Linked DNA regions of Bombyx mori. The protein of the gene in region 2 interacts with the protein of the main gene of each other region in a pairwise test. Links are inferred from orthologs where the notes say so. Each region holds a gene or a part of one and is shown on either strand. Other genes may lie near its edges. The genes, in order: trimethyllysine dioxygenase, mitochondrial; GTPase Era, mitochondrial.

Region 1 (4,501 bases), on a different chromosome or scaffold from region 2:
TCGGGTCGGTGCATAAAATCCGTCTCGTCAAATAACAGCGCACTTGAAATGTGAGCTCTTATTTTGTTTAGTTCACTTCAAACACAGCCAATGTCAACCCGTCTCACAATACCGCAGTGTGTATTCAAAAGTTGCAAAAATAAGGCCCGAAAAAGCAATTTAACGGCCGGAATATCTTACATTCGGTAAGTACATGAAGTATAAACTATATTGTAAGCTTTAAACTTATAAATAATATTAAATTTTGAACAAAATTACCGATTTTTAACCACCGCTACAAATGTTGGCCAAGGCTCGGCCAACACATGGACAAACTTTTGCTTAACAGAACAGTAAGTGCATGGAGTAGATTTGTGTTGTAATAATTTTTTAAAATTTGTTAGCAGCACTTCAAAATTAGTTGGTTAAAATTGGTTAATGCTGCTTTTGTGTCTGTTTGTTGGACTCTCATTAGATACTTAGCTTTCTATTTTTTATTTTAGCTTTCCTAGCAATCACGTGTGCAGAATGGATCTCGATTGTCGCCATAGAAACAAGAGATGACTTTTATAAGCCAGCTAAGATCTCCGCTTATTGACACTGGACATCTTTGCCTTCCGTGCTCACGGCTACTGAAACGTGGCCGAAACATTGTAATAAAAATACCACGCTTGAAACCGTTTAAACGTTGTTTTATTATGTGCACTGGTCGCGAAAACTTAAAAATATATATTACACAAAAACCTAACGCTAATAAAATTATAAGTAATGTATAGATACTAACACACATACATTTCCAAAACATAAAAAGTAAACAACTAAACTTTTACTTTAATTCATTAATAAATTATTTTAGTGTTAAGCGCGACTCCCTTACCTCCTGTAGTAAATAGAAATCGGCATTTCAAGAAGCAAAAATAAATAAAGCAAAACGATGTTAGTTCTCAGAGCAATTAAGGGAAAAGTTACTTTATTTGTTGCCTTTAAGATTGATTTAACATTAAAAGTTGTTTAAAATATGTCTTTTTATTTGTAAGTGACAGGAGTAATTTATTGCTTTGCTCGTTTTATGTGACGAATGATCGTAAGTATTAGATAATGTTTTAGAGATTTGTGACTTTATTATTAGGTGCCATAGTTGTTATTAGTTTGAACGTAAAAGTGTTTCAAAACTTTTTTCTCCGTTTGTTAGTAAACGAATGTAGCTATATAAGTATATATTCACGCGGACAGTTTTTGCTTTAATTTTGTACGTATCCCTTTATCTAGTTACTATTGTTGATCGAAGATGATCGGGGACAAAAAAACGGATTTTGAGATACAGTAGTCTTAGTAACTCCTAGCATGAAGATTTAAGCTGCATAATATTATCTATCTAACTGTATATTAGTTTTTCTTTCAGTTATGTGTTCTAATCTCAACTGTACCATAAATTTCAAATTTTAATCAATGATATTGTCATTATAAAGTGTATTTAATAGAGGCTTAATAAAATGCGTTTAAGAAAACATTGTGGAATATACGACCAATTGTTAACTAAAAAGAAATGCCTATCTGAATTAATTTAACCATTTGATTCAACTTGATTTATGTTTCTTTATGAAATCGGTTAATTAAGCAATTTATCAATCAAGAGATACTGATGGAATGCGGTGATATTTGGTGTTTACAGAAATGTCATTAGTTTTTACATCGCATTGCATTATTCATATCGAACGATGCGAATGCCCTCATTTCATAGGCAAATAAATTGGAAGAACAAAAACAAACTTATTTCAAGTGACTAAAATTATTTACAACCTATTTTTTTTTCAGGTGTCTGAAAAAACCACTTAAAGAGACATTCTATAAGCAAAAATTTCAAACTAAGCTTAGATAGGCTAGCAACATTACTTTTATGTTTCAATTTCAGGTTTTTGTATTGTCACGATATTATTTTTCTATATATTCATTTTAAAACAAAAAAAATAGATAGTGATCATTATTTAAATATCGATGAATAACACCTTAGTCGTTTGTGACGATGAGGGCTGTGGAGTATTCCAAACGTCAGAAAAAATTTAAGGCCCATAAAAAATGCAATATTAAGTCATAAAAGTAGCTAGAATTATGTCTACAACACGCAAAAACCCAAGAAAACACAAGAACAAATATACTGACTCCGACCGAGAATACAACACGAGAACCCACGGTACAGTTATGCGACAGGTAGGAAGTTGACTGTACCCCTGGCATTGCTGATGTCCATGGGCAACGGTAACCACTCCCCATCAGGCGAGCTGTACGCTCGACTGTATACAAAGGCCATAAAAACAATAGAGTCAAGTTCCATAAAAACTAATCAAATAAAATCCAAAAAACATTATTCAACATGAAAGTAGGTACATACTTGTTGAACGTCAAAAGAATTACCGCCAATTCACAAGAACTAGCATCCGTCCTGAGAAGAATTGGCAAGAAACTCAGCGGGCATGTCTTTTTCTTTTTTTAAATATGAAATTATTATTATTATTATTATTTTTAATATTAGATTTTTTTTAAATATGATTTTTTTACAATGACTATTATAACGTAACAATTACTACAATATTGAAATGCCCGGAGCGAGCAACTCATTCCCACAATGAAACGCTTGATCTAAAATTATAAAGGAAAAAATAACATACATTTAATTTACTTACCATACAAAACTTGAAGCAATTAAGATCATTAATTTATTGAAACGTAAAAAAAAACTTACTTTTCGCACTGTTTTCATTGAATCCGACACTGAATTCCATCTTTTCTCAACTAATGCTACATGACGACTGATATTTATATGAAACTAAACGACTGTCGTGCTAATTATCGAGACGAGCTTATCGAATTTAATTATATAATAAGACGAATACAATTACGATATGATTAATAGAGTTCGAAACAGCCGGGTCAATAAACGGCAACGATTACTATCAATTGAATTAGTGCACACACTTTGTTCCTATTTTTTCATTGAAACGCTGCTGTTTCGGCCACTCGGTACCTACGAGATCCACAGATACAAACGAAAAACTTACTTTTACTTAAAAAACTTACTTTTTTTCTTTTCTCCTACCTGTGTTAATAGCTTTGAGATGCTATTTCAGCTTCTCCTTGACGTGTAGGTGAGCTCAGGGGGCTCAAGCCGGAGTGTTGCTAGCACTGGCCCTAGCAAGAGCGGTGCTTCGCAGAATCTACCACCGGATCGGAAATGCGACTGAGAAGATCCGGCGAGACACTCAGTGGGCTGTGTCTATGAGTTTATTCGCTCGTCGAGGCCTTCGTCGCAAGCGACGGGTTCGACGAGCACGGTGACCGGTGCTTGAGGTAAAACTACTGCTTATGCGCTTCCTATATACCTAGTTATATGCGATTGCGGGACAAGCGCTAATAACTCTAATTGACTCACAGCTAACTGCGTTTTACGGCGAGTCTTCTCAGTGGGTCGCCATTCCGATCCGGTGGTAGATTCTGCGAAGCTCTCCTCTTGCTAGGGCTAGTGTTAGCAAGTTCTCTCAGGTTGAGCCCGTGAGCTCATCTGCCCGTCCGTGCATAGCTGTAATAATAGCTCCATACCATGCTCTCCATACCAGCGAATAGGTAAGGAAAAAAGGTTACTCGCCTATAATTGTATGTCCTGTTATTATGACGTCAATATGTTCACAAACGCATTTTTTATAATTTCCCTTGTTATAGCTGTTTTCGCCTTTCAATATATATATTTTATATTAAATAGATATAATATTAATATATATTTTATTGCCCTTGTAGGCAGACGAGTGCACGGCCCACCTGATGGTGAGTTGTTACCGTCGCCCATGGACTTCAGCAATGCCAGGGGCAGAGCGTAAAGATGATTTAATCCAACGCAACTTAGCTTACAATCTAATTTATTAAGGTAGAGAGCGATGTTCACTTTTTTTATAGGTTCCGGTGACTCACATAGTATATGTACATACATATATATTTAACTTAAAAAAAATTGCTTTATTTAAAATCAAAGACGTCAAACGTCGTTAAGTTTTTGCTCCCGGACATAAACACTCCGTCAAGATATTTAATTATTATTTAATGTTTCCGTGTTCTCTCGATTTGATATTGACGTCACTGTTAGTAGTAACCAACCGAAGTTTGTTTTAAATTTGTTATCACTAAAGATAGTCAAAAGTTATTTTAAAACAATACGAAAATAAAAGATATTTATTATTATTTATTATTACACACACAACAATCGCTTAAATCAGCTCTAATAGATATGAATAGGTTATATATATAGTACATTTGAGGCCATCAGCGCAAATGCGGCCATAGTCTTGCCATAGTCAACATGGAGATAATGAGTTTTGAATTAACTTTTGCACTGTTTCGTAGGCAAAAATAATACGCGCAAAAATAATTTTTACTAGGCCATCTGTTATCTATGGGTGAAATTAGGGATAGGACGGCTTTGCATCAAAATTTATTATGTTTTAAATAAATTGCTAGCTATAAGCACGAATATGAA
Region 2 (4,427 bases):
AAGAAGCGAGCAACCGTATTCCGCGTGTCCAACGAGGTCATTTTCCATCCTCGCTCATGGTATGGTTGGGAGCTTCTTATTGGGGCTTAACAGAGGTACATTTTTGTGAGAAAGGTGTAAAAACGAATGCAGTTGTGTATCAAAATACAGTCCTGACGAACCTTGTGGAACCTGTTTCTCATACCATGTTCAATAACAGGCACTGGGTATTCCAACAAGATTCGGCGCCAGCTCATAGAGCGAAGAGCACACAAGACTGGCTGGCGGCGCGTGAAATCGACTTCATCCGGCACGAAGACTGGCCCTCCTCCAGTCTAGATTTTAATCTGTTAGATTACAAGATATGGCAACACTTGGAGGAAAAGGCGTACTCAAAGCCTCATCCCAATTTGGGGTCACTCAAGACATCCTTGATTAAGGCAGCCGCCGATATTGACATGGACCTCGTTCGTGCTGCGATAGACGACTGGCTGCGCAGATTGAAGGCCTGTATTCAAAATCACGGTGGTCATTTTGAATAAACTTTAGTGTCATAAGAATCTATGTTTTGTTAAGCTCATTTTGGTATATGAATGGTTACATAATGAATAAACGGAATCTATTCGGTCGGCATCTATTGATCATGACACTAATCATAAATACCTCTTTAAAATATGTCATCAAAACATATTTAGACATTCTGTTTAGATATTTCGGGAAAAAGGCTACCGACAAAATCTCTTCGGAACTATTTAAATAAAATAGTTTTATTCCGCCGTGAGTAAAACACTATTGTAAATTCGTTAAATATTTCATAATTAAGTGATTTTAGAGAGGAAGTCACAAGGAATGTCGTTTGTAATTAATGAATAAATGTTCTGTATGTGTTTTTTATTTCACGCGGTCCCTTTATAAGTTTAAAATTTGAATCACTCTCAAGTGAAAGTGATTCAAATGGTGCGGCGCACCTCCCTTGAGGTGCGCTGCGGTAGTGTGTTACGGACTTTAGAGTCAGCAAAACAATTAAAATAGATTGTAATAGTCTAAGAAAAACACGTACTTAAAATACGATAACATTTAGCATGCTGGAAATGGGCAGATGGCACTGTACTGCGCCATATCTTTATGTTTTGCGACAAACGACAACTTTATAAAATCAGTGTAGCAACTTTTAAAAATCATCACATCGTTTACTTGGCAAATTCGAAGGACGAACTTGTCTTAGATTTCATACATCTAAATCATATCATATTTGCACATAACAATATACCCACTTACTTCCCATTAAAGTATAAATTCTACAAATAAATAATACTCAACAATATTTAAAATAAAATGAGCCAAGAACGTTTATCGATAAAACCTGATAACATTGAAATCTTTTGTACAGCACTAAAACCGTCATGTTTTGTGGTCAGATGACGTCACAATGGCACAAATTTGTTGTTGACGTTTCATTTCCATAGGTTTCCTACTTCAGTGACTTTTTGGCGGGAACGCGAGGAGTGAAGTTATGTGATTTGTTTAATTTTGTTTGTTTTGTCTGTTTAGTGTTTCTTCAGGTTTAAATGTGTAATAACGGTGGTTTTTTAACTGTTTAATATCTGTGAAAGTGCACAAATGTGGGAAAATGAAACAAAGTCGCTGGACGTAACTTCTCGGGATCCTCCAAAAAGTCCACTGAAAAAATAAACTGAATAATAATCTCAGTAAATGACCACCATTTTACTGAGATTATATTTTATATTTCATCCCATATCATCTCATTTCATTTCACTACATATTATCATTTTTCATAAAAATAAGAATATAAATTAAAATAAGACATGACCTAAAGGTCTTAGTTACCAGGTCATAAAATTCCTCAAAAAAAAAAGAAATGGAAAGATAACACCTAGATTTTTAAACACATAAAATTTTTATTAATACACATCTAAATGGTTATTTGTAATTATTACTATATATCACATAATAACCATGGCTACGATTACTCGTGGGATGTGTGTTTTTAGTTATCGTAATATGCTCCCTCGTCGTATCGTTAATTATTCATTTCAACCACAACATGCTGAAAATAAAAACATAGGTAAAATCGTACATGTTGCGATTATTGGAGCCCCAAATTCAGGAAAAAGTACTTTAATAAACAAAATAATTGACCGAAAGGTGAGAATTTGAATTAACAGGCTATTATTAAATTAACGATTTAATTATTTTTTAGATAATATGTTCTTTCTTTTATGGACTTTTCTTTACAGTTCAGGCCATGTTATAATATACTGTGTTGAAACACCAAAATCCTTAAAACAATTGTATTATATATTAAATTATATTTTGTGAGGATTAACTGTTAATTGCATAATAACATTTATTTAAAATGTTATAAATATTTTTTTAATTATTTATAATGTAAATGATAACAATGTTATTTTTGTATTGGGTACCATTGTAATTTTTTGGTATATTGGTATTTATGGGAACTGATTTATGTTTATTGATACATATTAATTTATTAACTATGTGTAAAGTACTAAAATTACTATTACGTTATTGTTAGATATGTTTTTTTTTCATACACATATTGAAAAGAAAAAAAAAAACTCCTTCACAATATTGTTTTTTTCTATAGATATGTGCTGCTTCAAATAAAGTTCATACAACTACCAAATTAGTAAGAGCAATGTGTTACTGCAATGACACACAGATTGTATTTCTGGATACACCGGGTGTTGTAACTGATAGAGAACAAAAGAAGTAAGTAGCTGACAGGGCACACCTCCTGGTGGAAGAGAGTCTTGTGAGCCCACATGGGGTGGTACCAGCATGCTTATTTTCATCAAAGGCAGTAGTAATGCATTTTGACTTCAAGGATCGGGCAGTCATTGTACTATAAAACTGAGACTTATCTCTCAAAGTGGTGATGTCAATTGGTAACCACCAAAAGTACCATACAATATTCTAGATGAACTGGTTGGCACATTGTGTTGCTATTTGATCTAGCTTATAATTTAAATTGCCACATGTCTCAAATTAACCCATGTTCAGAATGATAATTGTATATGAATATAGGAAATTAATTGTTTAATAATTAAGGTAGTTAATATTGTTTTATTGTAGTGGTATTAGTAGATGGAACAGCTCAGGTTTGTTTCTTTAAAAGAAAGTACACATACTTATTCTTTTTCATTAGAATTAACTTAAATTGTATTTTGATTACCCTCAGGCAGCCACATCTTGGTATTGAAACTCTTAAAATTTTTATAGCATTTGATTAATGTGGTTTATTTTAGAGTGGGCCATAAACAAAAAAAATCTTTTCAATGAGCATTTATTTTCACAATTTCAAGCACTGTGAATTGTTTAGCATGAAAAAAAAGAATAATTTTAGTTAAATTCAATAAAATTACCTAATATCACTAACATCACTCTTTATGTTCACAGATACAACCTCCCACCTTCAATGTTAGGATCATGTCACAAAAGTCTCAGATGTGCAGATGTAGTTGGTGTTGTCCATGATGCATCATGTAAATATATCAGAGAATCTTTACACAAGGATGTTGTTGAAATGCTGAACTCTGTACAAGATATGCCAAGTTTTCTTATCATAAATAAGGTATTGTAGCGATCTCAATGATGGGAATTTAATCATAATCACAAAATTTACAAGATTTACATTAATTTTGCTTTTTGTACTATTTCCTCTTGTTTTATTATTGAAATTAAATAAATCTAACACTAAAGGAGAGATGGGATTAAAAGTTATGATTTTTTTAATGCTATTTTTACTAAAGTCAAGACGTACAATTAATTTCAAAATTTACACACGCATCAAGGACAGATGACAATAACTTTAAATTTCGCTCTAATATCTACCAGTGGGAACAGAATAAAAGAAAATAATTAATGAATTGTTACTTAGGTTTGCTATAGTGTGTTTTAGTTTTTAAGCTACACACATTTATTTTAAACTTATTGGCAAACTTTTTAATCCCTTAGGTTGATAAGTTAAGGTCAAAGAAGCAGTTATTGACTTTAGTGAGGAATCTCACTAATGGATTTATTGCTGGAAACTCTATTCCTGGTCCCACAAATCCTAATAAACAGGAGAGAGGCTTCAGTCATTTTTCGGATGTGTTTATGGTATCTGCTTTGAATGGTGATGGAGTTTCAGATATAAGGGTGAGTAAGAGTAGTTTTATAGACACTATACATTCATATTAGGGTAAATCATTACCAATATTCCTCGGTTGTATAATATATGTACATATGCATATATGATTAAGAAGTCGATTTCTAGCGTCGTTCTGTTACTACTACATTTAGTGTTAAAACAAATTGATATGTTATTACGAAATTTAATAGACGAAAATAAACCGTATTAATAGAATTAAGTAAAACCACTTTTACGATTTAATCTGGTTTTCGTGATCACAGACGACTGATGG

Evidence for each region.
Region 1: the proteins of GTPase Era, mitochondrial (region 2) and trimethyllysine dioxygenase, mitochondrial interact in a two-hybrid assay, tested with the Drosophila melanogaster proteins (2 studies listed by BioGRID). The link is inferred for Bombyx mori from reciprocal best matches to the Drosophila melanogaster genes CG7488 and Tmlh.

Annotation. Positions count from the first base shown.
Region 1 is NC_085119.1:4,779,510-4,784,010, forward strand, and holds the start of trimethyllysine dioxygenase, mitochondrial, read right to left. Parts: upstream 2,837-4,501; 5' UTR 2,760-2,836; coding exon 2,720-2,759; intron 666-2,719; exon of another isoform or gene 483-665; intron 186-482; exon of another isoform or gene 1-185.
Region 2 is NC_085128.1:7,078,401-7,082,827, forward strand, and holds the start of GTPase Era, mitochondrial, read left to right. Parts: upstream 1-1,429; 5' UTR 1,430-1,956; coding exon 1,957-2,145; intron 2,146-2,608; coding exon 2,609-2,733; intron 2,734-3,420; coding exon 3,421-3,595; intron 3,596-3,978; coding exon 3,979-4,161; intron 4,162-4,427.